4 linked regions of the Kluyveromyces lactis genome follow. The protein of the gene in region 1 interacts with the protein of each later gene in a pairwise test. Links are inferred from orthologs where the notes say so. Each region holds a gene or a part of one and is shown on either strand. Other genes may lie near its edges.

Region 1 (7,518 bases):
ATCTTTCTACAATGATATCATCCTTGTTCTGTGTTAGTTTCTTGAACGATACGTAACATGACTCTCCTTCATTGGGTAAGAGTCTTTCAATAGGCAAAACAAATTCCTCTTGTTCGTCAAGTAAACCCTCTGATAATCCTTCTTGTTGGCATACCACTTCAACGTTATCAAGCGCAACGTCCTTCAATGTGTTAGTGATATGGAATTGTAATACAACGTGCTCGTCAAACAAATGCTTGATACCCTTCACAACGAATTCAGCTTCAATTTCCGTTAATGGGACAATCTTGGAAGAATGGATACACTTGCCAAAGGACTGGAATTGTTCCAAGGAGGACATTTCATCCACGTATTTGGACAATAGCAAATCTTCTTCTTCAGATTCCAATGAAGGTCCATTGAAGCTATTGTCATCCAATCTATCACCCTTTCTACCACCCTTTTCAGTACCGTTACCATTTCCGGCACCACTGTTGGAAGATTCTTCTGTATGGTTGAAGGCTTGCTCTTGTCTGCGTTTCAAATCCAATGCCTTCTTCTCGTCTTCGGAGTATTTGGCAACTGACGAGACGTCAAATGGAGTCTTGAATGCCTCTTGGCCTTGTGACAAATAGTGTGATAGTTTTGATTCAAGAGCAACAACGTCATAGGTAGAAGTTGGGCGAATGAAATTTTGTGCGATATTGGAAACATCTTTCTTGGACTTAACCGAATCGATGAATTGCAAAGCAATGGATGCTCTATCTCTAACTTCATCATCTGAATCAGTCTTGATTTGAGTCAATAGCTGTTCAATACTTTCTACTAACTCAGGGTCATTCTTAACAAGTGCAAATTTGGAAAGAGACAACACAGCAGCAGATCTGATGATAGAATTCTCTAGAATAACTCTATTGTAAATGTGTCTCACGTATAATGACGGGTTCTTAGTGGTTGGACCCTCCTTACCCAATAGATGTAAGATTCTAACCAATATTTCATTATATTCACAATCTTCGATGAAATCACATAATTCTTCTAAAGCTTTTTCCTTAGATTGTGGGACGAATTGAATTAAATCAATTAATGCTTCCACGACACTATTTTTGAATTGAAGACTGCCTTCGGCAGATTGTAAGGATTCCATCAAGAAATGTAATATTGTATCACATTCCTCAGGGAAATTTAGAGAAAGAGTTCTAATAGCATCAATAATGATGATCTTGAAATCGTCATTCACCTCGTGGATGAACTTGGTAATTGTCTTAATCAAAGAACCAATGTTCTTGTCGGTACCAGTCTTCAACAAGGTAGTGATTGTGTAAGTGGAAATGTTTCTGTTGCTATCGTTAACAAGAGATTCCAATTGTGGATTACATACCACAATTTTCTCTGGTGAAACCATAGAAATCTTGTTCAACAAACGCACTGCAGCAAATCTGGTTGTCACACGAGGAGTGGACAAGAATCCTTGCAAGACAGAAACCGCTGCTGCAAACAAATCGTTAGGAACCAAGTTGGATAGAGACGCAGTAAGCTTACAAGCTTCCAAAGCAACAGCCTCGTGTCTGCTTTGCAACCAATTAGCTATTAGTGGTAAGAACTGGGGGATGGAGTTAGGATCCTTCAAAACCAATTGGTGCACGAATTTAACCATTTGTACTTGAGCCAATTGATTTTTCAATGGTGAAGAATGACCGGCAAACTGTTGGATCAATTTGATCAAAGCCATCTTATCGTGATTCTTCAATTGGTACAACAAACCCAATGCATGGTATTGAGAGATATGAGACGTAGTTGGATAATATCTACTGTTCTCATCTGGATATGGCAACTGTTTCAAATCACCAACGGCTTCCTGAGTCTCATTAGCAAATCTCTTCACCGTAGTTTCAGCGATTGGTAATAAATGGTATGAACTGACCAAAGAAGCAGAACAAATAGATGGATGTTTGCTAACCAACGAATTTTTCAATAATCTTTCTGCAGAAAATGCAGTGGACTCATCCAAGACACGGATCAATGCTCTAATAGCATTAGGCTTCACTAGATCTGAACCATTTTGAACATCTTTCATAATTGAAGAAGTAGCCATCAAGATATCATCGGAGATTCCACACAATTCCTTAATAGCCACGTAAACGATTTGTCTCAAAGAATCGTTAGGGTGTTGGAACAATTTCGAAATGGAAAAGAATAAAGCAGTAGCTTCTTGTCTAGGGAAAGTCTCACCATGCGACAATAGTTCCAACAAGCTTGTGATCAGGGTACGGCACAGTTTAGGATTCACAGGAGATTCATTGAACCGATTCAAACAATCCTGATAGATCGCCATTTTGTCTGGCAAGGACCCACTGTGTGGGTCCTCAGACTTCTTATAAGTTTGTGCAGACATGCAATTGGCAGTGCTAGGATACCTTCAAATGACGTACTAACCTTTAGTAGCCAATTTTGAGCCTATTAACCTCGTGTTTTATCCAATTCTTTTTGCCGTGTGGTATGGTATATATTTATATTCATAATGTTTTCAGTTTGCAAATCGGTAGAAGTCCTTTGGAATGAAAAAAAAAGTGAAGCGGGTGTGTGAAAGTGAGGGTAACACTTGTTTTTTAATTATGATATATATGTATATATATATATATATATGGATATGGAGATATATATGATATAGCAGGCAAGATCACTGCTGCTGTTCATCTAGAGTCAGGAGTAGTTGTGCAAGACATCTCTTGGTACCTACATCGTCCTGTAGTGCTTCATTGAAGGTGTTATCTCTTAGTTGTTGCGGCAAAACTTGTTTCAACAATCTTCTGGCTTCTAAATTATCCGATAATCTTAGGTAGCATCTTACAACATGTTTCAATAATCTTCCCGGCACCTGTTGTTGGGACATGTGCTTAAACATAGTTGCCAAAACTTGTGACACCGCGTAGAACCGTTCTGGGGTCGCGCATACGAACTGGAGTCCGTTATCGTCTAATAATATTTTCTGTAAGATGAAGATAGCGACGATCTTCGAAAGTTCTGAAGAGTTTTCCATGATTCTTAAACATAATGGGATAATATCTGTCCTTAGAAGGAAACTGATCACTTCTGCAGAATCGTTTTTCACTAGAGCACCGATGACACCTAGTGAAGTTAGCCTTAAATATTCAAAAGTTCTTTGGTTTGATGTCGTAGATAAGAATGGGAAAAGGAACAACGGGATGTGAGCCTGTAAGAATTGAGGCCTGATATCTGGGTGTGATGCGACACATTGTAAGAGCACCAAAGCGTTGCATACGCGGTTTGATAACTGGTTTGATAATGCAGGAGGTGAAAGAAGCGGATAAATTGAAATTATTTCCTTTAGCAACGACGTCATCACACCGAAACTGGACCACAGCACGATAGCCAAATCCTCATACTGTTCACGTTTCTTACCTAGTTCTAGAAGCGCTTGTTCTTTGCTTGGCCCGTAAGTGAGCTGGCATATCCAATGGTAGACATTTGGATCATCTAGCGCATGTGTTATTCCTGCTGGTGTGGGACCTGGCCCAGGAACTGAACTTGGTCCTGCAGTTGGCCCTTGGCCCATCCCAGGCATCTGACCTGGAAGTTGGTTGTTTTCTACTACTGGGTGGGGCATTCCTTGTTGCAAACCAGGAGGCATATTTTGGGGTTGCTGTTGTTGCTGTTGGCCCTGGGTTTGATTTTGACCCTGAGCCTGCCCTTGAGGCTGGCCTTGACCCTGGCCTTGGTTATTTGGGAAGTAAGGTTTCAATTGTGGGAAATATTTCCTGCGGGTTTGTTCCGAGAACACATTCCCCTGAGCTTGAGCCGCTTGAGCCTGGGGTTGCTGTTGAAACATGGCAGATGATAATTGCGGGTGTTCTACCTGATGCACAAGCTGGATGATGTGTCCTTCCCTGAGACAATGCTGAATATTGCCTATTCTACATACCATATATATACAGAGATGCGAATTATCAACACTTTTAAGTTGAAAAGATGTGCTAAGTTGTGGAAACTGAGGTTGTTATGAAATCCGGGTAATAAGACAACGAAAGTTTAAACACAAAACAAAACACGCCCAGACATTGTTCAATATGACGAAACACTGAATAAAAGAAGAAGCATATTAATTATTAAGTATTAGACAATATATAAAGATGTATATTAAGTTGGTGATAGTAGGAATAATAATAGAGGAGAATGGGGTTAAGATTATAATTTGGAATGTTAGAATTACTTTAATAGTTGATTAAAAATAAAATAAAAAAAGCGGAAGCTTTTTTTGTTTTTATTTTAACTTTAGTTAAACAACTTCTTCAACTTACCCAACCATTTCTTGGAAAAAGATTGAGATTCCTTCTTGACATCTTCAGCTTTGGCTTGAGCTTGTTCTTGAGTTTCCTCAGCCTTAGCTTGAGCTTGTTCTTGAGTCTCTTCAGCTTGTTGTTGAGCTTCTTGAGCAGTTTCCTCAGCATTTTGTTGAACTTCTTCAACCTTATCTTGGATAGCTTCTCTTTGTTCTTCGATCTTGTCAGACATTGTTAACTGTATGTGTTACTTAGTTGTTGTTTCTTGCTGTTTTAAAATATGTCAGACAGAACAATTAAAATTATCCCAAAAACAACCGCCAATGGTATGGGAAAAGGCATCGCATCTTAAACTTTGTTTTCCTCTATTTATATGTGTGAAACTGGGAGTCCGGTATTAGAGCGAGGGCAAGGGATCTCAGGGATCATCCCAGCACCGAGACACGGACATTCACTCGGACATGGAAGTGGTATGACATTACATTACACGGTCCAGAGGGCTAATCCTAAAGTAGCGTAGACGTTTCCTACTTTTAGAACGCGCCCTCCGCTGCTACTGCATTTTAAGTGAATATGCGGTCCAAATTGTTGTTTTTGATTTTCATTTGATTGATGCGTTTATGGGTCTATGGGTGTATCGATGAGCTAGAATTATTTCGGTTCAAAAGACAAAACGGGGGCGGGCGCGGTTCTGTGTCCCAGACATGCTCTAAGACATAGCCCCCTTTGCATTCTGGGTGTCCTGTTGTCGAGTTTTTTCCACAACGTTCCATGGGAAAGGGCAAGCGAAGGGAAGAAAAAAAAATTTTTTTTCTTACTACAATGGGAAGTTGATTTCCCATTGTAAGGTGTGCGGCATTACCCGGGGATTGTCTCGTGTGGAAGACATTCGCCCTCGGACAATTACTGGAAGTGGCAATAACGACGCGGATAGCGGTGTTCCCGGTTGGCGCTATATAACACGCAGCTTTGAGGGTTGTTTACGTCACGTGATGGTGTACCATCACGTGATACTCTTTTTCTTATATTTTGTATGGAACGGATTTTTGGCATCACGTGACATTGGCTATCATATCAAAGAAACGGCCTCTAGCGAGGCCGTTGCTCCTAGTACGGTTTCTTAAATACAGTTTTCTTAAATACAAACTTGCAGGCCTCTCAGTAAACGTTCCTCAGAAATTTGGGTATACTTAATGCTTCAGAGTGCTAGAGTACATTTTAGCACGTTCAGACTGGTGCACAGCGTTTCTCTCGTCTTTGGAACCTCAAGACGCAATATACTTATCGCGACCTTGTTACTGATGTGCCTTCAACACTAACTCCAACATCGCCCGATGTTGGTAGTTGTTGCCTGCTCTTTTCAGCTTCATATATATCTGTAAAATGCTCATTAACAAGTAATATATGTACTTAGTGCAGAGGACCTGCCTCTATTTATACAAATTTAGGAAGTGAAAAATTTTTGCTTGGGAAAAGTTACCCGGGACAGTAGATGTAAAGAAATCCGTTTCCATATTGATTATAGGGCATCGCCTAATGCGATGAGCCATGCTAGGTGACCAAGGGCACACACACCCCTTGTTATCTAGCACTATTATATTTAAAAGCTACTGTTATGTGTATATTGTAGGGTCGGTGTGCTGTACCGGCCGTACAGTGTTATAGTACCGAGGATCCATCGTATACTTCTTGTAGTTCATTTCCTCGGTGTATGTCGGAGATGACAGTGTCGATGATGACGACGACGATGACGATTCGTATTCCTTCAGTATATCCAAACTGTTAATGGATCCACTCCTGCTGTTCCCTAGCAGTGTAGCAGTGCTGGAACATGCAGAAAGGTTGCGTTGATGGTAGTAGAATTGAGATGCTTTCTGTTGAGCTTGAGCCTTGGCTCTTTGTCTCGTCTTGTTGATCTGGGCACCTCTCTCCAAATCTCTTCTGATTGGGTTGGCTAAATCATACAAGTTGTCCCATAGCTCTTCAGATTCGACTCTCAAGTCCCATTCAAACAATTGTAACAGTTGTCTTTCCATTAGGTTCACATCGCGCAAGGTGAACATCCCATCTGTGTACTTGGTCCAATGCTTGTTCAATGGGGAGGAATCGTTGTGGTATTTGGCACTGAGAATCAAACAGGCTAGGAAAATTCTATGGCATGTAGTAGGCAGACCAGCTGCATCGGAGGGCAACAACTCCCTCAATCTGTTTAGGTATACCACGGTGGTCAACAACGTGGATGTGTAAACGTTCGTGTACCGTACTAATCTCGAAATGAACGTCATTAGACTGGGTACTCCATTGTGGTTCTTACTGGATGGAGTGCCCGGTGGTGAAGGTGGGTATCTTTGGTTTCTGTTCTGTGTAGGAATCACTCTCAAAGCGTGATCAGTTAAAAATTTGATCATATCATCGCTCACTGGTGAATCGAACAGAATTTCCAAACTCTTCTTCTTGAACATGCTTAGACTTTATAGGCTTGTTGGGCTCTTACGATATGCTCCCAAAATTGTGCCTAACATGACAGGCAGTACTGGAAGATGCTTCATCCTTCCGATCCTAATCTCTCTTTTATATATGTTTGAACCTTCGCGAGTCTCCAGGTTACACATTTATCAATGCGCCAAAAAAGGCACGCTGCCATTGTCTACTTACAGTAAATACATCAATGCGGTGGTACCTGATACCCAAAACTATGCGATCTTGGAATAGTAATTTTATTTCGTGATCTTCAGAATCCAATTCACCCGTTGTCCTTCTGATCTAACCGTACTTCAAGCTGCATCAGTTATCAAGACGACCAAGGAAAGAAAAATGCTAATTAAAACACAATCAAGTAATGTAATTTCCAAAACTATAAAACTGACACTTTTTTTTCGTGGTCCCCATTGAAAATCTACCCATATCTAAACTCTATACATGCATTAAGTACCGTATCCGTTAAAACTTCTTTTCGTTCGAGACGAAACTTCGCGTTTTGCTTCTCTCTCGACACCGTTAAATCAACGAAAAAACGGGAAAGAAAAAGTTACACTATTTCGTGATTTCGCAGTCGCAGCATGTCACATGGTATATAGATCCGGTATACGTCTGACTAGTTTACTTATTGTGTGCATACATTGTCACACCTCTAATTCCATGCACTGTTTTATCGTTCCGATGGTTGCACTGGTCTGGATCGAATCGGTACCACCTCTTGAGATCGAATATTCGATATCACTTAGTCTAGATAGAAGTT
Region 2 (8,499 bases), on another chromosome or scaffold:
GCCTTTTTCAAAGAGCCTTTTATTTTTCGAAATGATATCATATTAATGTCTGTCATGTTCCGCCGAGCAGTAGAAGCCCGAAAAAGAAAGGAAGAAGTGATCAATGAGACAGTGTAATAGATAGGACTATGCTTAGTTATTAAAATTAATTATAGCCCTGTTTTTGAATGAGTTCAAATATTCAATGATGATCTATCAATTGATGGTGTCTGATTGAAAAAAAAAAGATAATAGTGTTGTTACATTTATATTGGACGTTACAGTTCTACGTAAAACGAAGAAGGAATAAATTTTAACGGATATGTTCTCTTTTCTATCCACTCGTTTAAATAATTTAGTTGGATCGGATGATTCAGCTCCAGATATTGCCGGTTTGATATGAGTTTGGATACGATTGACCAAAGTTCACGAAGTTCGAAGGATCTGATGCGATTGTTGACGTTGGGCCTGGAATTGGATTCCCGTGATTCGCTGGTGAAGTAGTAGCTGTTTGGTTGTAATGAACATCGTTAAATACCGATGATGGTTGAGGTAGCGGGTTCGATATAGGAGTTGAAACTGAGTTTATTTGCTGCGAATCTGACTGAACTTGAGTGGTTGCATGAGGGAAAGTATTTTGTCTATTATAAGAAGGCAATCCTGATGGTACTGGAACAGAACCCATTCTGCAGTACGCCAATAAACCCGTGTTATCATTCAAAAGTTCAGTATTGTATGAATTCTTCATGGAAACCAAAGTGGAAATGAATTGGGGATACGACAGTACTGATTTGGCATTAATTTGAGTCAATGATGTTTGATATAGCTTGTCCAAGGGAACGAAACTATTGTCTGGAGAAAGCATCTTATAGGTCTTGGCTAGGACTTCCTCATATGAGTCAACAGATGTTGCTGCAACTTGGGAAGATAGCAGGGTGTTCGGAAGTGCTGGAGTAGATGTAGGTGTATCCCAGATATTCGAAGCAAAATTGTTAGCAGAGGCAACACCAAAGGTATTTTCAGCTCCAGTATCCCAAATAGATCTTCTTGGTTGAGAGTGTGACGAGGAGATTGGGTTCTGTTGAACGTGCTGTTGACCAAAGTTTGAGAGCCTTTGATTTGGATCATTGTTCCAAAGATTTGGTTGGTTGTAAACAGCAGATTGCGGACGTGGTGCCATGTTAACAGGATCCAGATTTTGTGCCGGAATACTACTAGTTGAACCGAGTGAGATATCGTTAATTGTAGTATCTTTCAAGAAACTGGTCAAATTATTAACGTCATCGGTAACATCAACAGTTGTGTCTGCAAAGGAAGAAAACTTCGAAGACGATCCGCCATGCGACAATGGAAGTAATCCCGGAGCTTCTGAAGAAGAGGGCTGGTTGGCATGATAATAAGCTTGCGTGGACGATTGTTGATCCCATCCGTTCAACAAATTCGGTTGCAAGCTTGAACCTAACGTATTAAATCCAGCCTGAGCATGAGGGGACATTTCTGACATGGAAAGAGAAGGTGGAATGAACACATTGCCTGCGTTCAATCCACCTTGGTGATCTACATTCGATAACACAGATGAACCAAGCAAGTCGTTTTGATTCCGCGAAGGTGAAGACGACAATGATTTAGAAACTTCATTGATCATGTTGAAAATGTCATCATTCAACGTTGAATTATTCTGTAGAGGATTGGTTGAAACGGATCCGTAAGGAACACCTTCGGTTGTTGTGTCTTGATTTTTTTGCATTGACTTCTCATTCAATTTTTGATTTTCCTTTAGTTTTTGAAGCTGTTCTGCTTCCTTCTTCTTCAAAAGGCGTTGTTCTTCAAATTCACGCTGTTTTCTTTCCTTTTCCATTTTCTTTTGTTTTTGTTCTTCTTCGCGCTGTCTCTTTTGTTCCTCCTTTTCTTTACGAATGCGCTCTTGTTCTTCTTCCCGACGTCTTTGCTCCGCTAACTTTTTCTTACGTTTCTCATCATTCTTGCGTTTAGCTTCTTCAACTTTTTTCCTCTGAGCTTCTCTTCGAGCAATCTCCTTTTCCTCAGCTTCTTTCTTTAACCTGATTTCTTCTTCTTCTTGCCTCTTCTTTTCTTCTTCCTTTGCCAGTTGTTGTTGACGTTTTTTCTCCTTCTCCTTCTCCTTCTTCTTTAGTTTCTTCTTCTCCTTCTCCTTCTTCTGATTTTCTTCAGCTTCGAGTTCCATCAATAATCGTTCTCTGTTCTTTTCAGCCTCTTTCTCTTGATAGGAAGCGATAAGCTTTTTTTGGAGTAATTTAGTTATTGCGATCTGTATAAGCCTTCTACCTTCTTCTAAACGCTCGGCATGATCAAGCTCACTATCATAATTATCATCTATACCATCTTCAGATACATTTGAGGTGACAGAATTGTCGTGATGAATCAGTTGAGTGTGTCCATTTGGCACAGCAGAAGGGTCCTCATTCAGTTTCACGTTTTCATGTAGGTCATCATATATGATATCTTCATCCTCATTTTCATCATCGTAGCCAGAATCGAGGTGATGATCATCGATACATTCGTCATCAACATAGCCCTCTGCATCTTCATCATGATCGTTGCTTTCTTCATACTCATCGTTGGACCACTCATAAGATGCTTGGTCTTCGTCCGCTGAAATTTCATTACGTAAACGTTCTAGTTCTTCTTTATATTCTTTATCGTCTTGGTCAATTTCAGAGCGTCTCGTCTTATTAGTGAAGATATCATAGAATGCATTTTTCAGCGATGCAACCGCTTTAGGATCTTTAACAAATTTAAACGGAATACTGTCTATCAGAGAATCCACTTTATTGTTATCAACCAACGAAGGTCTATCCAGAGAGTCTGATTCAATAACGTCTTTTTTGTTATTTTCTTCTAAAGCATTTGCTGGTCCATTCACCCTTTCATTTTCGTGACTGTCGGATTCTGATACATCTATAACAGGTTCAGTGGGGTCCATTTCATAGATCTTCTTCTCAATTGAAACGGCCATGTTTTCCCTCCAATCTTGAAGTTCCTGTTGTAGAACAAGACTTTCCATAGCTCTTTTCAAACCTTCACCTTCATTATTCATCATATCCTCAGTTATAGCTTTAATGTGGGGATACATCATAGCTCTGTTGATGAATTCCTCGGCAATATGCGGATGAGAAGATACTACAGTTTTGGCAAAATGGAGAAGCTTAGAGTCAAACTCATCATGTTCGGGGATAACCTCATTAGTATTATCTATGTCATTGATAGGAGGGAGAGCTTCTTTACCTGTTGTAGACTCAGATACCTGCTTCTGTTTGCTACTTTTAAATTGTTCGATTTCGTGTTTCCAATCCAAAGCAGTCTGCGTTTTATTATCACTGTTCGGAATGGTGTCCATATTTGAATCAACTTCTTCTTTACCAAGGAAGTCAACTTGATATGATTTATCCAGCCCTATCGCTCCTTCTGAAAGACAATACTTTATGGCTGAATCTTCGCTTAATGAATCGAGGAAATCATTTGTACATTCATTTTCTGAAGTGCTAGCATTTTTCTCTTTCGGAAGTATGCTAGATAAAAAGGCATTTTTATTCGTTGAATCATTATTATCGTCGTTATCGTTATGGGCAAAGTTCTCATGACAAATATTGGAATCCTGTTTGTCCCCATGGTGACGCATATGGTGATGTGTATTATTACTACCATTCTGATATTCTTTTATTAGCTTTAAGTGGAACTGTACAAAATCTGTATCTGAATCTTCTTCCCTTGCACTATCGTAAAGTTCGCAATATATCTGTTCAATTTCTTGCTCTATATTCAGGTTGTTATGACGGCCACACATGCTACAATCACAATTATGCATATTCTTATACGATTTGATCATATCAAACAATTCGTCTTTGCTTATCCGTAGAATATTCCTTCTCTCTTCCAATGACAAAGATTCCCAATGGGTATCTAACTTGATTGGCCATTTAGTATCCTCGACTTCTTCATTATCAGCATCGGCATTGCAGTCTGCAGTATTTGTAACACCGCCACTATTAGTGCTGCTACTGCTGCTACCAGAACGATGATCCTGGTTTAGTTCTGATCTGTCTAATGATTCCTCTTCCGGAAGTGATTCCACTATGACATCTCCGTTTGGGGCTCTTTTGATCACACGAGAGGTAGGGTACTCTGCTTCATCATCGATGATTTCTGCGTGAATCTTCGATTCATGCAATTCCTTTTCACCCGCAGAACCATGCTGCTTCTTACTCTTCTTCTTACTCTTCTTATGTGCCACCATTTGTGAGTCTCTCTGTGATACTTTAAATCCTTCCACTAATTCTTTAACTACCTTTAGTAAAAAAGACTGTAAAAGGATGCTTGTAAATACTTTCCAAACTTTGATCTAGAGATTCTTTCACTAGTTGCAGCACTTTGGTCCGGTTTCGGCTTTCAATATCAACTACACTCCTCTTTTTACTTTACTTTCCTTAACTACACACTATACAAATTTTTGTTTTATATCCATTTTATTTGCATTATTCCAATATTTTAAATTTCCAAATTTTCTATATACAAAGAAAGAATCACTATTAAAAACCAGATGAGATAGAATTCAAAGGCTTTTTCAAATTTCAAACTCCTTACTATGAGAAGAAACCAGATTTCCAAAATTTCACTCAGTGCCGTATCAAGCAAGCCATAGTGAACAATGAAAAAAATGGAAGATACAAAGTACGGAGATAACGGAACCGGGTAATACGTAATAGCAAATGTGCGGGTAAATAATCACGTGCTGGTCTGAGATGAGTACTTTCTTCGCTCACTTAGGGTTACTCAATTACACGTATATATTTACTTAGTGCTATATAAAAAGAGAGATTTGGAAGGAAGGAGTTTTCGAATTATATTTTGAACTTCGGCGGCTAAAGTTCGGAAGATGAAGAGCTGGATGAAAAGGAGTTCTAGGCCTGCTTACCGATAATCGATAATGACAGGATCAATGCGAGAGAACTTGGTTAATACAGTGCTGCTTTGATGTGACATTTATGGTTTGATGAAATGATCACTCTTTAAATTGCCGTTATGTCGTTTCTATATTTAATAAATGATTCGAATGATCCTGAGATATCTCTATGTCACTGCTTAAAGTAAGATTGGCTCCGCATAAAAGGTCCTCTGATTCGCTATCTTTAATTGCACGCCTCCTTCCTCAAGATTCCAGCTAAAACAAAATACCCCTGGTTGACCAAATATACAAGAGATTAACAATACTGACTAACTATAGGTTTAACAAGCCACATATTAACTCTTCCTAGTGCATCCTTTTAAGCAATTTCATGTTTTTAAGATAAATTTGTTGGTCACGTGCACGAGATACATCAAGACTATCTACAGCCGTTTATGATTTCTTTCTTTTTCTACTCAAACAAAACTTGAAAAGCTATTGTCCCTGTGATATTTCCCAAGAATATTTCTGCTGTACATTTATTTAACCATCCCGTTCTGTTTAGTGAGAGTCGCACACTCCACCTGCGTATCTGCCAGTGATAAATTACTCCCGGTCAGCAGCGATGCAGTCTTCTGTGCTTCCAAGTACTTCCCAACAGTACTGGATTGATCCTGCAAATACATCAAATTATACTTCCCCTAATTCAAGACAAATTCTACGCATAGCAACCAATTTAAAGTATCTTATAGATGAAGTGATTCCCATTACATACGAGGAGAATATTGTAACGTGTGAACACTCAAGAATCCTCAATGCGAAAGTAATTAAATTGGCCAGAGCAGCTTGCGGTGGGGACAGAAAGGACCGCGCCTCTGTTAGGAAATACGAATCTGTCATTGTATTCGCCTTGTTAAAAGTATGTGGATGGTATTGGGGACTGGCTGAATCGGAGCTACACAACTCAGAACTCTATAATATGAGGGCTGTAACTGCCCAGCAGCTTTCGAAATTGATCATTGAGGAAACTGAATTCGAGGATCATCACTACACATTTATGCAATTACTACTACGTCGGTACGTCATTAATGAAAATGACTGCGATTCTTCCCCAATTTCCGCACTTGAATTAGCCATGGATATGCATTGTACTATTGTTATCGGTTCTTCTGGATACCAACGTTGTTTGAAATGGTTGTGGAGAGGTTGGATCGTGCAGAATAAACTCAATCCTGAAACGTACATCCTTTCCCCCGTTGTGCCATCCTGTGAAGTTTCCAAGCATTTCACGCCTGAGAGATTACGTGCTCCCATCTACCAAAATTTATTGCAGATCATCTTCTCGCTATTATATTTGGTACTTTTCACGGTTGTCGTAAATCAAAAAGACTCTGTAAATGTTCAACCGATAGGATTTTGGGAATCCCTGTTTTATGTGTTCACACTGGGTCATGCACTCGACGAATTAGTCAAGTGTTATCATGTTGGATGGGCGTACATTGGTTTTTGGAACGTATATCATGATTTTATGTTTTCAATTATCATATGTTCTATCGTTATTCGTATCATTAGTGTGTGCCCATGGAAGGCTGATTTACCATCAGAGCACTGGGATATTGTTTCGTATAGAATTTTAGCATGTGCAGCGCCATTGGTATGGTCTCGTTTGTTACTATATTTGGAATCTGAAAGATTTGTTGGTGCGTTATTGGTGGTATTGGCACATATGATGCGGGAGTCCATTTACTTCTTCTCTTTATTAATTTTGATAATGATTGGATTTTTACAGGGGTTCCTAGGACTAGATTCGGCAGATGGAAGGCGCGAGATTACATGGCCAATATTATCAAACCTCTTCACTACTATTTTGGGCGATGGTGGGTTTGATATGTTCGAAAGGTTTGCCCCTCCTTATGCAGCTATCCTATATTACAGTTACTGTTTCATTGTCACTATAATTCTCTTGAATATATTGATTGCGTTGTACTCGAGTGCATATCAAAAAGTAATTGATAATGTCACAGATGAATATTTAGCATTGATGGCTCAAAAGACCTTAAGATACATCAGAGCTCCAGACGAAGATGTCTATGTTCCACCTTTGAATTTGATAGAGATTTGTATTACTCCTATAATCTGGATGCTACCAAAAACACAAGGTAAGTATCTATCCAGCTTTGTGATGACGCTGATATACTCACCCTTGTTGTGCTATATTTCTATATTTGAAACCATTCAAGCCAGAAGGATAGTGTACAATAGACTCAATAAATTACCAGATGATGCTAATGAAAATGATGTAGCTTGGGATCTAACTGACGGATTCTTAGAAGAGGAAGCTAACATTTTGGACTCTGATTTCGAGAACAGCTACAGGATGACGCAAAAGAAAAATGAAAGGGCACTCCTCGCTCAAAGAGAGGCAGAAGAAGTTGATCCTAGGTTCCCGGTTGACAAGGGTTGGTTTAGCGAAGTGAAGACTGTCGTACAGCCAGTAAGCGAAGGTTATGAGACTGGTATAGGTTGGGAGTCTTATAAAATCTTCAAAGAATTGAACGATCAACAGCAGAAAGCCGAAGAAAAGATAGAGACGCTCACCACAACTATAAATCAATTAACTGAATTAATTAAAGAAATGAAGATCAAAAATGATTGAGTACTCCAGATTGTATAAAATCAATAAATGTTTATGTTTTCTGTAGAACCCAAAATGAACATTGGTAACCTAACATTGATATATCTAGCTTATTAGTGCCGTAACTGGACGAAATATTGGTTTGTTGTTTCAATAATTTGAACGGAAAGTGAGTAGTTGCCACTTCAAGAATATCTTCATGACTCAATTCTATTCCCCTTAAGGGGGTATCTAATATGTTCGATAATTCCCCCGTATATGCATCAAAATCGGCAGTCATCTCAGTTTGATGATCTTGTTCAAAATGATACATGAAGGGTCCAAAATTAATCCAGTAACCATCAACTTTCAAAACATGAGTAATTGTTTCCAAATAATCTAAGATATTAGAGCATGTATCAATGAAGAAATTGGTGATGACGACGTGCTTACTACCTCTATTTGCTGCCCTAACTTCCCTGATATATGCCGAATTGGAATAGGATTCTGATTGTTTAATATTGACATTTGGTCCATACAGATCCGGAAAGGATCCTGCTACCATGGAAAGAAGTCCATTGCCCCCAACTTCCTCGACTATATTCATATCTGGAATGTTTACTTGCCGTAGCTGCTCTGCCCTATTAATGTGATGAGAAAATGAATGCACAAATGGAAAAAGAGCGATCTGTTCCTTTTGAAGACCTCCATCCATGATAAACTGGCTATTCATTAGCATATGGTATGAGACTTCATTGGCCTCAGTATTAAAACCCAACCGGACCATCTCTACAGCTAGACGACCCAAGCCTGCGCCAGGAATTAATATTTTGATTGTATTACGGTCGCTTGGAAACTTTTCTTCTAAAAATTCTGTTAGCAACAGTAAAAATTGATCCCTTTCCTCTTCACAATGCGTTGACCATTCTCTTGCTATCTGATTAAGCATTGAGATTGTTTTTCTCATATCTGTGCCGCTGGGTTG
Region 3 (7,725 bases), on another chromosome or scaffold:
CCCTTTAATCAAGGGAAAGGTATGAGTCGATTTCTCTAACTGTCTGTCCGTCTGTGTGATATGCACCATTTTTCTGGTTTCGTCTGATCATTTCTGATTACAAACGGTACCATGTATGTGCAAATGAATCGTGTTTTGTTCGTCCATTGATCCCTGAATTGCGATACTCGGTTGTGGTATTTGTCACTTAGAGTTCCAATTACGTTGAAACAGTTGACCAGTTTCAAGCCGTCCAGATCCCAGTATGCCTAACCTGCTATTTGGCTGAGGAACCAAATAGAGTCAACTGAGTCAACTTTCCCCATTCATGCGAAAATGTCCGTGAATTCTTTAGAAATGGATGTAGGGAGGGGAAGAAAAACTGGAAAAACTATCACATTCGGTTTAATGGCGGATGATTCAATTCTCCCATCGTAAAAGAGGGACAACAAACAGGGTCAAAAGGATCAGGAAAAAAAATGTTTCAACCGTGTGAGCGTTCTGTGTCTTGTGTCATTCGTCCTTAGTCCGAAAGTGAAACCTTACTTTAAGTAATGGGGCAGATAATCACATAGCTATGTCGCTGTTAATCATACCCGATTATCTAGATGCAGATTAGGTGAGCTTACGGTATCAGCTCCATGGAAGGAGCCGATATATATAAATAAATATTACCCGGCTAAACGCTTATTGTCTAGTTAAAAAAAGTTATTTCCAAAAAATAACGACACCAGCAGGATTTGAACCAGCGCGGGCAGAGCCCAACAGATTTCAAGTCTGTCGCCTTAACCACTCGGCCATAGTGCCAAAATTTTGCAAATATTTCGATACTTGATTCTTATATTCTTAAAAACCTTTCATATGAGGATAAATCAGACATATCTCTTACTCTACCGAGTCGAATATGGTTTCCCGAAAACCTCTTCCATACAAGCAGTCTGACAAAACTTGCCTAATAGGCTGGAGCTCCAGATATTCAAAGAGGAACTCTCATGTTTCCATATTGCCTTAGAATAGCATGCCACTTTGAATGTTTTTTTAACACCACTCACAAATAGAGCACTACAAAAGAAGAAGTCAGGATGCCGATGTCAGCAAAAAAAGCAATTATAATTATGCGGAACGCTCCCTCAATTTTTAAGTGGTGGAAAAACTTGTTAGATAATCCGTGCGCGCAAACCATGATACGCCGCACATTTGCCTATTTGATGCAGCTTTAACCCCAGTCTTGTGATTTTCTATTCTTTACTTCGAATAACGCTACTTATTCAATGAGCAATCACTACATCACAGTATATTCATCATTTGTTGCATTCTCTTTGGCGAAGCTTGGTACCGTACACCCCAGAGTTTATTTGTGGGTACTAAATGGGTTGGTATAGAGACAAAGAGGAAGAAAAGTGGGTAGCAAAAAATTCGGTGGTGTGTTATGTGCAACCTAGCCTCATGGTGGTGTGCTATCTCTAGCTGGTTGTGTTTATTTGTACCTCTGCGGAATTAGGGTTGGATCTATGTGGAATTAGGGTTAGGGGTGTTGGAGTAAAAACACATAAGACAACAAAGGTAAAAGTGGCATATAAATAGAGGGTAAAATCCTAACTCCAAGTTTGCTAATCCTCTTTGCCGTATACCCTAAGTTTATGTGTTTTTCCTTTTTCTTGAGTGCTACCATCGGTACACAAGCATCAATTTGCAATAGTTAATACATATATTAACTTTTAACACACAGACACACTCTACATCAGAGAAGAATATTCACAGAAATGACCAAGAAGGATAAAGGACCAAAGTTTGCTAATGTCACCACCAAGTCCGGAGAAGTCGTCAAGGTGTTTGAAGATTTGAACGATTTCGAAACATTCATTAAGAACGAAACTGAAGATGAGGAATTTGATCACGTTCATTGTCATTTGAAGTACTATCCTCCATTTGTACTACACGAATCGCATGAGGATCCTGAAAAGATTAAGGATTCAGCCAATTCACATTCAAAGAAGTTTGTGAGGCATTTGCATCAGCATATCGAAAAACATTTGCTAAAGGACATCAAAGAGAGAATCAAGCTGCCTGATTTGAAGTTTAAAGACAAGGCAAAGGAAGAATCGTTTGAACACATTGTATGGAAGTATAATGATGTAACCCAGTATCACGGTAAAGATTTCGAAATCCATATTACCGTGGAGTGCCACAACGATTCGGCTATTGTAGATGTCGATTATTTGACAAAACCACTAACAGCTGCCGTCGAAGCTTAGAGACCATTGTTTTATTTTGAGTCACATGACCTCAAATTTCTCACTAAAGCATCGCGCCTTTTGAGAGATACAACGAAACAGGACCCCCAAAACGCCGTAAAAGTAACGTAGGCCTGATTTGAGCATTCCTATATATACGTAATTAGCGTGTTTAATGACTGAATGAATTTTATGATTATCTAAACATGGCTTTCTATTCCTCATACATTATGCCTTGTCAACCAACCCCTTTTATTTTATGATACAAACCCATCAGAACATTTCTTCTCACGTGACCTCATATTACGTCTTCTGAAGATACGTATCCGTTTAAAGGAAGAATTTCCAGGAAATTTTTTTTTTTTATTTCAGTTTCGATCGTTCTTTAGTTAGTTCATGGAAACTTTGTTTAAAAAATTGAAAAACTTCTTTTAAGAGTTTTATAAAAAAAATATATATGTATTTCAAATAGTGTATTTACCAAAGTTTCGAGTTGTAAACGTATGTTAAAAAAAGCATACAGGACCAAAAATAAATTCTAGAAATAATTAAGTGCTTGAGCGGAACTATTTATTGTCAATTTATCTGTCCTAGAATATACGAAGAATCATTATCGGCTGGCGAAAGAATACATCTTGGCAATTTTACACTATAAGGATAACACATTATCTGACAGCTCTGATAACAAGAAAGCACTATTTCGATACGATATACACGATACTAGACACAATACACATACGGATAAGATGAATGCCACGGCTACGGAAAATCCGCATGTTCATCAGAATCAGCATGAGATTCAGAAAGCTTTATCAAATTACGATACGTCCTTCTTATCGGATGACGAAGAGGACTTGTGTCCACTTTGTATAGAACCACTCGATGTTATGGATAAGCATTTCAAGCCTTGTCCTTGTGGATATCAGATTTGTCAGTTTTGTTATAACAATATTCGTCAAAATCCTGAGCTTAATGGTCGATGTCCGGCTTGTCGTCGAAAGTACGACGATGAAAGCGTCGAGTACATCGTTCTTTCTCCAGAAGAGTTGAAAATGGAACGTTCCAAGCAGGCCAGAAAAGAACGTGATCGTAAGCAAAGGGAGCGTGAACGTAGAGAAAATGACACTCATAATAGGAAACAGCTTGCTGGTATGAGGGTCATTCAGAAGAATTTGGTTTACGTTATTGGGTTGAATCCACCTTACCCTTACGAAGAACTTCCATCCATCTTGAGATCGGACAAGTATTTTGGCCAGTATGGAAAAATTAACAAGATCGTCATCAATAAGAAGACTGGACACGAGCACCATTCTGTTTCAAATTCATCGAGTCATATAAATTCAGGTTACGGTATTTACGTTACTTTTTCCAGAAAAGACGATGCAGCAAAATGTATTCAAGCCATAGATGGTATCTATATTGATGGACATCAAGTGAAAGCAGCATATGGTACAACAAAGTACTGCTCCTCGTATTTGAGGGGACAACCATGTCCAAATCCGAACTGTATGTTTTTACATGAACCAGGGGAAGAAGCGGATGCTTTCAACAATGCCAGGAAGGAACATGCCCATCACTCACATGCACCACCTACACTTGCTAAACCGTCTACAAGTGCAAGCTCTACGCCAAAGCTTGCTCATGCTTCATTGAGAACAGATGACTCTACTGTGCCAGCAGCTGCAACTTCAAGCTCGAAGCAAACCGCTCCTGTGCTAACACCAGCTCCAGTTCCATCTGGTTCAAACCCATGGGGTATATCTCAAGCACCCACACCAGTTTCTACTATTTTCAACAAGACTTCTACTTCTACCACTTTCCCTACGTTGTCAAGCTCCTTGGGGGAAACTCTGAACAGTCCAGGTCCAGGCACTCCTACGACCACTGGATCTGCCCCAACAGCAAACTCTTCTTCTAACGTAAGTTCGAAGAAGAAGGGCGAAAAGACATACGAGGATCCTTACGATCCAATGGCAACATGTGTTAAGTTCCTAGATCAAACTTTTAAGTTTTTATCAGATATTCCTGAAAGAAGCTACACATTCAACTCCAACTTATTGGATGACGAAACATATCAAAGTTACCCATCACTTTTTTCATTTGAGAAGATTGGATGTAGTGAGCAATCTGAAGGTGTCTTGGGTGCCAAACTATGTGATTTGCTTACTATAAAACCTGTGGACCACATGTCCTCTCTTCTGCCATTCATTCAAAACAAGGCTACACCTACCATGTTACCACCGGGAATTGCTGTCCAGCAACCACAATTAGTACAACAGCAGAAGCAGCAGCTACAGCAACAGCAATTACAGCAACAGCAACAACAGCTTTCACTGCAAATGCAACTACAAGCCCAACAAGGCATGGCGCAGCAAGGCATGGCGCAGCAAGTTATGAGCCAGCCACAAAGCAATTCTTCCGATCTACTAAATCAATTAATTCACGGTAAGAAACAGACTGCTGCCGTATAATCAGTACTCAGTATGATTCCAATAATATTTCTTTTACGAAGTTAGCATATAAATAAATATATATATTCATGTACATTCATTTATTTTTCAATATAAACCGTTCCAGGTTGTTAGATAAACAACTGTTTCAATTTCATTTTTCCAAATCAGACCTTGTAATCTACTGTCTTTCTGGGTTCTTCTTTCTGTCAAAGGCATTCACATTAAAATACATATTTTGACACACTCTTTTTAAGGTTTTTCCATCAATTATGTGAAAATTGTAACATTTAACATCTAAATAGTAAAGATGCGCCAAAAATATGGAATATAATTACATACACTTTACCTCAGCGCATACACCTTAACCTCGATACTGCGGTAAGCGCATCAATAAAGATAATATTGGCACATATCCATTCCAATTAATAGATGAAACCACAAACGAGGAAATACAACAGGCATAATGGCTTTCACACTTTGACCAAACTTCCGTCTTCAGTATCAAAGTTATTTACACAAGGTCCACCATTACCACCATCGAGAGTGAGAGTAAGGCGAAACCAGAACAAGAAATATGCACTCACTGGTGTATCAGCCGTGTTGCAACATGTTTCAGAGTATAAGAAGGCAACCCATCCCGTATCAGAGAACCAACACTTGAAAGTATATGATGAAGCCATGAACGAATCGCACAAAGAACAGGAGGAGTTGATGAAGAAAATACAAGAGTGGCACCCTGAATCAGATGCAAACATTTCTAGTGACCCCTACCGCACATTATTTGTCGGACGGTTACACTATGCCGTAGACGAAGTTGAACTACAGAAGAGTTTCGTCAAATACGGCGACATTGAATCGTGCAGAATAGTAAGAGACCAAGACGGTAAGAGCCGAGGATACGGTTTTGTGCAGTTTACCAGTTATGAAGACTCCAAACAGTGTTTCAGAGAGCTTGGTGTAAGGAAGGGAATAGAAATCATGGGCCGAACATCCATCGTTGATATAGAAAGAGGCAGAACGGTGAAATTCTTCAAACCTCGACGTCTAGGTGGAGGATTAGGAGGACGAGGTTACCAAAGGAAAGATCTCGTAAATAAATTAACTGGTGCTTCAACAAGACCGATGCATGAACATGCTAGAAGACCCATCAGAAGACACGATACCTTCGAAAGAAGAGGTCCTCCACAAGGGCATTCCCATTCTTATCAACCAACTAGTCCAATATCCTCACCTGCATCAAATTTCCAAAAAACTGCAAGTTCTAGCTACCGATCAAGGAGGGACAGATCTCGCAATGATACTTCCAATGGTTCTACAGACACATTGATGTATTGAGATGAGATAAAAAGACACATCAAATAGCACGTGATCAGAACTGCTGCAGTGATCTATATACATTTTCATATATATTCATATAAGTAGCCATACAGATGAGCCATGGCTAAATGTTATATGTACTTCCTACCATTTCTACCTCTGTTCTCATATCTACGCAGTTCTCCTACATTGTGCCCACTGGCCAAGCATAACTGAACCACTACCTCTGTATGCATGAGTAATTTCTTGATCGATGACTGATTCCAAAATAACGATGGAAAAAATTATTCCAGTCAAACAAAAAAAAAAAAAAAAATGGCAACTCAGCGAATCGCACATATAAAGAAAACCGTTTTCAGTTTCCCATTCGCTAAGTATTTCCATTAGGTATCTAAAGTATGAGTTAACTCGTAAAGTACTGAACAGCATTATTGTCTAATCGAAGTTAAGACCAGCTCTATCCATCTGCAGGACAAATTAAAGGGTTTGCAGGAAAGTGTTGATACCTGCCTTTTCAGTGATAGTGAGCCAAGCCAACTGTTTTATCTTCTTTAAAGGATTTTGATTAGATAAAGAAGAAGAAGAAGAAGAAGAAGAAGAAGAAGAAGAAGAAGAAGAAGAAAACATGTCTGTCCCATCTGCGAGATTGTTGATGTCAACGAAGGGTTTGAATCCATCTCGTTTGAGCAAAGTTGCTTCGATTTTGGCTAGATGTTCTCCTTCAATCCCAAAGAGAGTTGGTTATTCGAAAAGATTTGTTTCTAGTGCTAACGGTGTTGGATCTACTGGGACTAGATCTACGGTTATTCAATTATTGAACAATATTGGATCGAAAAGAGAAGTAGAACAATATTTGAAGTACTTCACTTCGGTTTCGCAACAGCAATTTGCTGTTATTAAAGTCGGTGGTGCTATTATCAGTGATAACTTGCAGGAATTGGCATCGTGCCTTGCATTTTTGTATCACGTTGGGTTGTACCCAATCGTCTTGCATGGTACTGGTCCTCAAGTGAACGGTAGATTGGAAGCCCAAGGTATCGAACCTGATTATATTGATGGTATTAGAATTACCGATGATCATACCATGGCTGTTGTTAGACAGTGTTTCTTGGAACAGAATTTGAAATTAGTTACTGCTTTGGAACAACTTGGTGTTCGTGCTAGACCAATTACTTCTGGTGTTTTCACCGCTGAATATTTGGATAAGGATAAGTATAAATTAGTAGGTGACATCACCTCTGTAGCTAGAGATCCAATTGAAGCTTCAATCAAGGCTGGTGTCTTACCAATTTTGACTTCGTTGGCCGAAACTCCTTCTGGTCAAATGTTGAATGTCAATGCTGATGTCGCTGCTGGTGAACTTGCTAGAGTCTTTGAACCTCTAAAAATTGTTTACTTGAATGAGAAGGGCGGTATCATTAACGGTAGCACCGGTGAGAAGGTTTCAGTGATTAACTTAGATGAAGAATACGATGAATTGATGAAGCAAAGTTGGGTCAAGTTCGGAACTAAGTTGAAAATCAAAGAAATTAAAGATTTGTTGGACTTCTTGCCAAGATCTTCGTCCGTGGCCATCATCAATGTTCAAGATTTGCAAAAAGAATTGTTCACCGATTCTGGTGCAGGTACTTTGATTAGAAGAGGCTACAAGTTAATTCGAAGATCTACTTTACAGGAATTCCCATCCTCTGACGCTTTGAGAGATATCTTACAAAGTGACCCAGACATCCAATCCGGTGCTC
Region 4 (6,862 bases), on another chromosome or scaffold:
TGCAATCTTATATCCAATTATCACACAACATAATGGTTCCCGCTTATACGTAGGTGTATATATAGCCTAATTCATCCGGGTTCAGTATCACTATATTTGGCCAGAATATCTGCGTATTGTACATTCCAGCCAGTAGAACGATACACGTTACAGACAGAGAAAAAAGGAAGAAGAAAAGCATTCCAAAATAAAACTGCAAAAATCAAAAATCCTTTCAAGTACTTACTTACTTGATTAATTTATGGTTGTATGAGATACTTGTACATAAAGTATTGTTTAATTCAATTGCGCAAGATATCAATCTAGTATCCACTGCGTTGAATACACGGGAAGATGAGTAAGTATTCATTTGAAACGATTCAGTTTAAGGAGACTCCTCCGGCGGAAACTCCTGAACCAGTGAATTCCAAATATGGCGTGAAAACGACAGCATCACCAGCTATTAAGAACGCTCCATTGCCTGCAGAGGGACCTTCTTCCAGACACTTTTCCAATTGGTTATTATTCTCCTTGCTCGGTGGTATTCCTTACTATGTAACAAGGAAAGTTGGGGGAGGTCTCAAAACCTTCTTGTTCTTTGCCGTACTGTTTGCTATCCCAATTTTAATGGCCTTTTGGACAATTGCATCCACTTACTCTCCTCGTTTGAATGAGAAATGCAAATTACCAGGAAAACCAATTGAGTACTATTTGACCTTCCATGATGATGCTTTGAAGGAAAAATACCACGGTAAGAAAATTCCTATGGAGACTTTCCACGAACTGTTTTTCGCTAATAAGGTCTCTTTCAACTTTGATGCTTTGGAAGTGATGGAGTACAGACATGACTGGGCTCAATTCTCTTTTACTCTATCACTTTTCAAGTTCTTCTTGCTTGGTATGATTCCAGAAGTTATTATGCACACCAGATCTCAAGATGAAGAACAAGTCAGAGATCATTATGACCGTGGTGATGACTTTTACTCTTGGTTCCTTGGTCCAAGAATGGTTTATACCAGTGGTTTGATCTCAGATATTGAAAAGGAAGAAAGCTTGGAGCAGTTACAAGACAACAAATTGAAAACTGTCTGTGACAAGATCGACTTAAAGCCAGGTGAATATTTATTGGATTTGGGATGCGGCTGGGGGACCTTGGCGACCTATGCATCCAAAATTTATGGCGCAAAGGTTACAGGTATCACTTTAGGTAGAAATCAAACCAAATGGGGTAACGATAAACTCGATTTGCAAGGGATCGACAACGAACAATCGCGGATTCTATGTAAGGATTACAGAGATACTCCATTGGCCACTGAGGACGGTAAGAAATATGATAAAATTACATGTTTGGAAATGGCTGAACACGTTGGTATCAGGAAATTCGGTTCTTTCTTGCAACAAGTGTACGACATGTTGGAAGATGATGGTTTATTCTACTTACAATACGCCGGATTGAGAAAGCCATGGCAATACGAAGATTTGATCTGGGGTCTTTTCATGAACAAGTATATTTTCCCTGGTGCTGACGCTTCTACACCGTTAGATTTTGTCGTTTCAAAATTAGAAGCTACTGGATTTGAGGTCGTTTCGATTGATAATATCGGTGTTGATTACTCCGCAACTTTATGGAGATGGTACAGAAACTGGATTGGCCATAAGGACGATGTTGTCAACAAGTATGGGATGAGATGGTACAGAATCTGGGAATTTTTCCTAGCATACTCCACTATTATTTCCAGACAGGGCTCTGCCACCTGTTTCCAAATTGTCTTGAGAAAGAATTTGAACGCTTACCATAGAATTAACTATGTACCAAAACAAAAAGGTTTATTGACTCCAATCAAGGAAGGTGTTGAACAATGGTTCAAATGAATAAAATGCCTTTAACTGATGTTTTTATTCATTCAAAATAACCGGCCGATTTTGGGAATGGAGATTGTATTGATAATGACCACAGTGACTAGACATAAAACACATGACACATATCGTATGCCTCGTTCAAATCAAGACCTTAGCCCTTCTGAATGCAAATTAGAAATTACAAGCTTATATATACCATCAATTTTTAATAGATATTGGAGATTTTGGTCTTAATGACTCTATGGAGGGATCTTTTGGCAGGTTCGATCCAACTCTTCCAACCTCATTTTTATATTCCATAGCGTTGAAGTTGTCTAGCAGTACATCTGGACCCATGATAACCCAACCAGGTCTCATCCGGATTGGTGTTTCACTTCCTGTTCTGGCGGGAACGATATGAAGTCTCCTTGTAGCGGTGCTAAAATTCTCTGCTACCTTGTACAATTGATTCGGAATTGCCCCAACTTTACTATTTTTTGATTCGATTGCTAAATCGGTATCAATGTTGCAATGTATGAGATGGCCATCCGTGGCTCTTCTTACTGTTCCTGTGATACACATCCAACAATGCCATTGCATCTTTTCAAAAAGTGACTCGTCGTCTGCTTCTAATCCGGGGTAAAATGGTGAATTCTTGTTGACAGGGACGAAAACCAACTCCTCACTTCTGCGAAACTTTTTTGCCCATATTTCGTTGTTCAAAAGTCTTGAAAGCTCATTGATCTTCTGTGCACTTCCCCATACAAATAAAAACCCTGGCTTTGATATCAATTTATGTATCGGTAACTGAGTTAAAAGGGGATAGATAAATTGATTATCAGTCAAGCAACCAATCATGACAACATCGAAAGTTAAACCATCTTTTTGTACCCAATCATTTAATGTGGGAACTATTTCATCAAGCTCTACCTTGCAACCAAATGGTTTTGTATTAAACTGCATTACCTGCCTTTCCTTCAGGCTAAATAGCCTCTGCAACTTCGGATATCCATCAACAGTATTCTCAATGTTTCTTACGTGGGTTTGGGGAAGCGATCCAGTATGTATATAGTTATTTGAATGATCATTCGTGTGAAACTCATTTGCAGGCCTAAGTGTGACATGTTCTCTCGCTACGCTCTTACTCGAATTCCCCTTTTTCTGATATATTTCCTCTAAAACCGCCGACATTTCAGCAGCCAGTTATAGTTTTATCCTGAGAAAAGTACTAGAAATAAGTGTATACTTGAAACAAAAGTGCTTTCCATATGAGTATAAATACTACTGTGTGAAATTGGGTTTTAGCAGATGATGCCTTGTACTAGCACTAGAAATGTGTCTTTTAATTGTTACTCATAAGAATATTTTGCCGCCGTTTATAAAGGATTTTCATTCTTGACATATGTTCGCGTTTTCCGTTAGAATGAAAGTTTCAATCTGAAACTATCAGTGACAAAAAGAAGCGTCAAAACAAAAAAAGAAAAAAATTATTTTCTTCGCTGTCGCAGGTTTATGTCAAGCCTTTTGGTTCAACAGACACTAGGAATAACAGCAGATTTGAATTTCCTGTCACAAAATGTTTGGTTTGGGTTTGACCTGTGTTTTGAATTACAGCATTTGATATTTCCTGTTCGAGAACGTATTATCTTCAAAAATATAGAGCATGCACACGATACACGCAGTCGATAGTGAGATTGGCATGTTATATAGTATCTCTTCTGGGGAAAAAGATCTATCTAAAAAGTCTAATGATCTTTTAGAAAACGTTGGACGGTACACTGAAAACTTAGTCATAGATTTGAATGTACTTCGAGAAATCCAAGTTATCAATGATACTATTCTAAAATCAGAAGCTTTTTTGGAAGCAGTAGTTGTGCAGAACGGTGGTGAAAACCCTGTGTTCCAGTATTTGCATGATATCGAAACAAAAAGCAAGGGTCCTTTTGACCCAGAAAGCAGATCAATTATGCAAGAGATAGTTTATAAAACTGTTTCGAGTAGGTTTGAGTTCAACAAGATATGGTTACCAAAATTTTTCCTGAAAGTACCAAAGTCATTCAGTGCAGGTGTAATTTTGCAAGAACAATTTTTGGTAAGTTTATGGGATACATTAGATGATGATATGTTTTTGACATTTGTGAACGTTTGCTGTTCGATGCTTCGAGAAGTTAGCGATCATGAAATGATAGCACTATTGCGATTAATTACAGAATATAATACCACCAGAGATCTCAAAGAGGTATTCGCTGTGATATTTCAAGTTTTTTCAGATACCACTGAGATTGTTGGGAAAATAATCCAGGATTTGGATGGGACATTATATCATAGAACATTGACTTTTATTGGATACTTAATATCAGGTGATAGCAGATTTATAACACTTTTGTTTTTAGAACAATGCGACGCCATTGTGCCAAAGATGGAAAACATACTTCTTCTTCAGGAGCTATTAATTGATTTGAATATTTCCGCAGTTCCTTTGCCTAACCACCTGAGGTCATTGAAATTGAGTTCTATGTGGTATACTTTTAGTGAAAACTCACTTTTTTGGGCAGTCTTTCAGCGTTTAAATTCTGACTTTAATAAAGCGGCAAAAGAATTGGCTTATCAATTAGTAGTGAGGATTTTTGAATATAGCGGTGGAAGAATTGTAGCTTTGTGGAATGATGATCTTCAAACTGTAATTCCACGGTCAGTTTCAGCAAATCTTGCAGAGTCTATCGAGATTAAGTACATAGGGTCCCTATATGGTACATTAAAACTTTTAGCACTCACAAGTGGGATGCAGTATATTGTTTAGGAACCTCAAGGGCACACGCTTGGAAACTCGATTGTAATTAAGCCGAAAAAATAAATGATGCAGGTAAAAGTATATCTTTATATAAGACAAGTAGATGATAAATCAAAACCAAGTTGTAAATAAAAATATGATATAATGATTTTTTTTCTAGTGAATTGAATAGAAAAGTTCCCCATTGAACAAAAGTGTTCCCATAATGAAGTGAAAAAAATACAGCTGATGACAAACACGAAAAAATTTTGGAAAGGTAAAGTTATATTCACCCATTGACAGATGAACTTGCATACGGTCAGAAATAACATGCGTTAGCGTTAAGCAGAAAGAAGTGGCTTTAGTTCACGATTCGTTATACCATCTTCCTTCTTCTAACTCCTCTATAACCGATTCTACCAACTCATCATCATCCTCTTCTTCCATCATTTCAACAGCATTGTATTTGATCATGTCCCACCGATTCCAAAATAGAACACAATCTTGAAATTGCACCGAATCCACGGTCTGTTCCAAAGAATGCTTAGCCTTAGTTAAACGATCTTTTAGTGATTGTAGTTCTTTTGAATCAGGCAGATTAGAAACCTTACGATATTCGCAGTCAGTTTCGGCGTCCGTACTAGATTTATAACCCGAATCGCTTTCACTGCCGGAAGTTTCAGAATCTGATACAGGGGAGACATATCCATATGGGTAAAGTTGATTCTCAGCTGAAGACGTCGTGTCGCAATATCTTGCCCAAACTTCATCAATGGATTGGACAATGTAATCGAAACAACGTTCTCTTGCCAGCAGATCAGACTGAGGAACAACACACGAAGAATGTCTCGACAAAGGTCTTGGGATTGACGTTGTTAAATAATTTGCAGTGGATGCAGTACTGGAAAACATATTTGGATCAGTTGACTCCTTCTCCACACCAGTGTTATCACTGTTTACAGTAGAAAAGTCTGAGGTATCATTGACGGTACTGGCTGCATTCTTGATATCAAGTTTGGAATTCAACGTAAATGCATCACTGCATGATGCCGGGCAATTGACTATTTCGGCTAATGCTCTGGGGTTTGGAAAGTGAAGATTAGCCTTCCTTGAAGGATGCACTACTGAATCGAAATCGATAGAAGAATAGCCGGTATCATTGCAATCATCTTCGGAATCTACAGGGCTAGAATATTCAGCAGTGACTTTGTAACGACCACCATTTAATTTGGCTCGTTTTTGTTGCAAAATGAATGGTGCATTATGTGTACCACCAGATCCTTCTGGATTGTTATTCCTGGTTGTATTATCTTTATTGTTGTTTCTATCACTTAATAGTAATATATGAGAACGCTTTCCTGTAAGAGCCATAATTGAGAAGGTAAAAAATAGAAACGAAATGTGTCAAATTGGTAATAAAAGGGATGATAAAGAAATAAAAAGTAAAGTTTACTTTGAAGAGTAAAAAATCAGCTAACCGCAAATACAAGGTTTTAACGAGAAAGCAGAAATGACTTATTGGAAAATCGAGGATAAACTCAAAAAAGCAGAAAACTGTTTCACGAAGATAATTTACCTTAAGAGGTTTTTCCTAGTAATGTTTGACTAATTGAAAGATAGTCAGACTATTGGAAGAGTAAAGCAATAAAGTTGATTGATCAGAAAAATCCAAAAGAAAAAACAGATTTGACTTGGGTCTATAAGTTATAACCAGCGCAGCAAATGAAGCAAGCGGCTAAAGTGTCTTCTAAGTATATTTCTGCAACAGGATAATATACTCACACAAGTAATGTCAGTATTCCAATGCCAGAGAGTTCCTAAGAATGAGAGAAAAATAAAAAAGGACTTGTCTCACGTGATCAGTCCGGGTAATATCTTTGATTTCACACCGTCCTGAGGGTTTTGAAACTAATCGGGAAAAAAAAAAAGTGAAATGGAAACTGAACGGGAGAGAAATCTTGAGGAAAATAGATGGGTAGTAATATACTAATTAAAAAATAGAAATTTTGATAAAAAAAACGGCCCCCAAAAAAATTTCTGGGAGAAATTATGAACAAGAAGCAATTAGAAGAAATTATTTTTTTGAAAATGTGGTTAGGACAAGGCAGAAAAAAGGCGGACAATCTGAAACTAAACAATCTGTTCACAAAATGAAGAGGTGATACTGCGATATGATTGGTCCAAAGGAGAAATTTAGAGAGGGTAATACAAAAAGGGAGATGAAAATTGGGACAGGTGGCAAAAAGGACGCCCGTGGTGGCGAGGATCATAGAG

The links.
Region 2: the proteins of CAF40 (region 1) and NST1 interact in binary tests that used the Saccharomyces cerevisiae proteins (3 or more experiments, as listed by UniProt). The link is inferred for Kluyveromyces lactis from reciprocal best matches to the Saccharomyces cerevisiae genes CAF40 and NST1.
Region 3: the proteins of CAF40 (region 1) and MOT2 interact in binary tests that used the Saccharomyces cerevisiae proteins (3 or more experiments, as listed by UniProt). The link is inferred for Kluyveromyces lactis from reciprocal best matches to the Saccharomyces cerevisiae genes CAF40 and MOT2.
Region 4: the proteins of CAF40 (region 1) and KAR4 interact in a protein complementation assay, tested with the Saccharomyces cerevisiae proteins (2 studies listed by BioGRID). The link is inferred for Kluyveromyces lactis from reciprocal best matches to the Saccharomyces cerevisiae genes CAF40 and KAR4.

What each region holds. Positions count from the first base shown.
Region 1 is NC_006041.1:1,169,363-1,176,880, reverse strand, and holds CAF40 (CCR4-NOT core subunit CAF40), read right to left. Parts: upstream 3,926-7,518; coding exon 2,660-3,925; downstream 1-2,659. Other genes in the region: SEC21 (coatomer subunit gamma), read right to left, coding at 1-2,374; PCL1 (Pcl1p), read right to left, coding at 5,894-6,742; RFC3 (replication factor C subunit 3), read right to left, coding at 7,403-7,518. UniProt on the Saccharomyces cerevisiae protein: Acts as a component of the CCR4-NOT core complex, which in the nucleus seems to be a general transcription factor, and in the cytoplasm the major mRNA deadenylase involved in mRNA turnover.
Region 2 is NC_006039.1:1,174,601-1,183,099, reverse strand, and holds NST1 (Nst1p), read right to left. Parts: upstream 4,253-8,499; coding exon 353-4,252; downstream 1-352. Other genes in the region: YVC1 (Yvc1p), read left to right, coding at 5,526-7,556; KLLA0_C13750g (S-adenosylmethionine-dependent methyltransferase), read right to left, coding at 7,588-8,499. UniProt on the Saccharomyces cerevisiae protein: With MSL1, acts as a negative regulator of salt tolerance.
Region 3 is NC_006039.1:702,475-710,199, reverse strand, and holds MOT2 (CCR4-NOT core ubiquitin-protein ligase subunit MOT2), read left to right. Parts: upstream 1-2,959; coding exon 2,960-4,684; downstream 4,685-7,725. Other genes in the region: KLLA0_C08063g (uncharacterized protein), read left to right, coding at 1,743-2,234; U1 snRNP complex subunit SNP1, read left to right, coding at 5,096-6,001; ARG56 (bifunctional acetylglutamate kinase/N-acetyl-gamma-glutamyl-phosphate reductase), read left to right, coding at 6,609-7,725. UniProt on the Saccharomyces cerevisiae protein: E3 ubiquitin-protein ligase component of the CCR4-NOT core complex, which in the nucleus seems to be a general transcription factor, and in the cytoplasm the major mRNA deadenylase involved in mRNA turnover.
Region 4 is NC_006039.1:45,659-52,520, reverse strand, and holds KAR4 (Kar4p), read right to left. Parts: upstream 3,010-6,862; coding exon 2,038-3,009; downstream 1-2,037. Other genes in the region: KLLA0_C00715g (uncharacterized protein), read left to right, coding at 334-1,851; KLLA0_C00671g (uncharacterized protein), read left to right, coding at 3,482-4,618; KLLA0_C00649g (uncharacterized protein), read right to left, coding at 4,955-5,959; KLLA0_C00616g (uncharacterized protein), read right to left, coding at 6,782-6,862. UniProt on the Saccharomyces cerevisiae protein: Component of the MIS complex, a complex that mediates N6-methyladenosine (m6A) methylation of meiotic mRNAs and is required for initiation of meiosis, progression through the meiotic divisions and sporulation.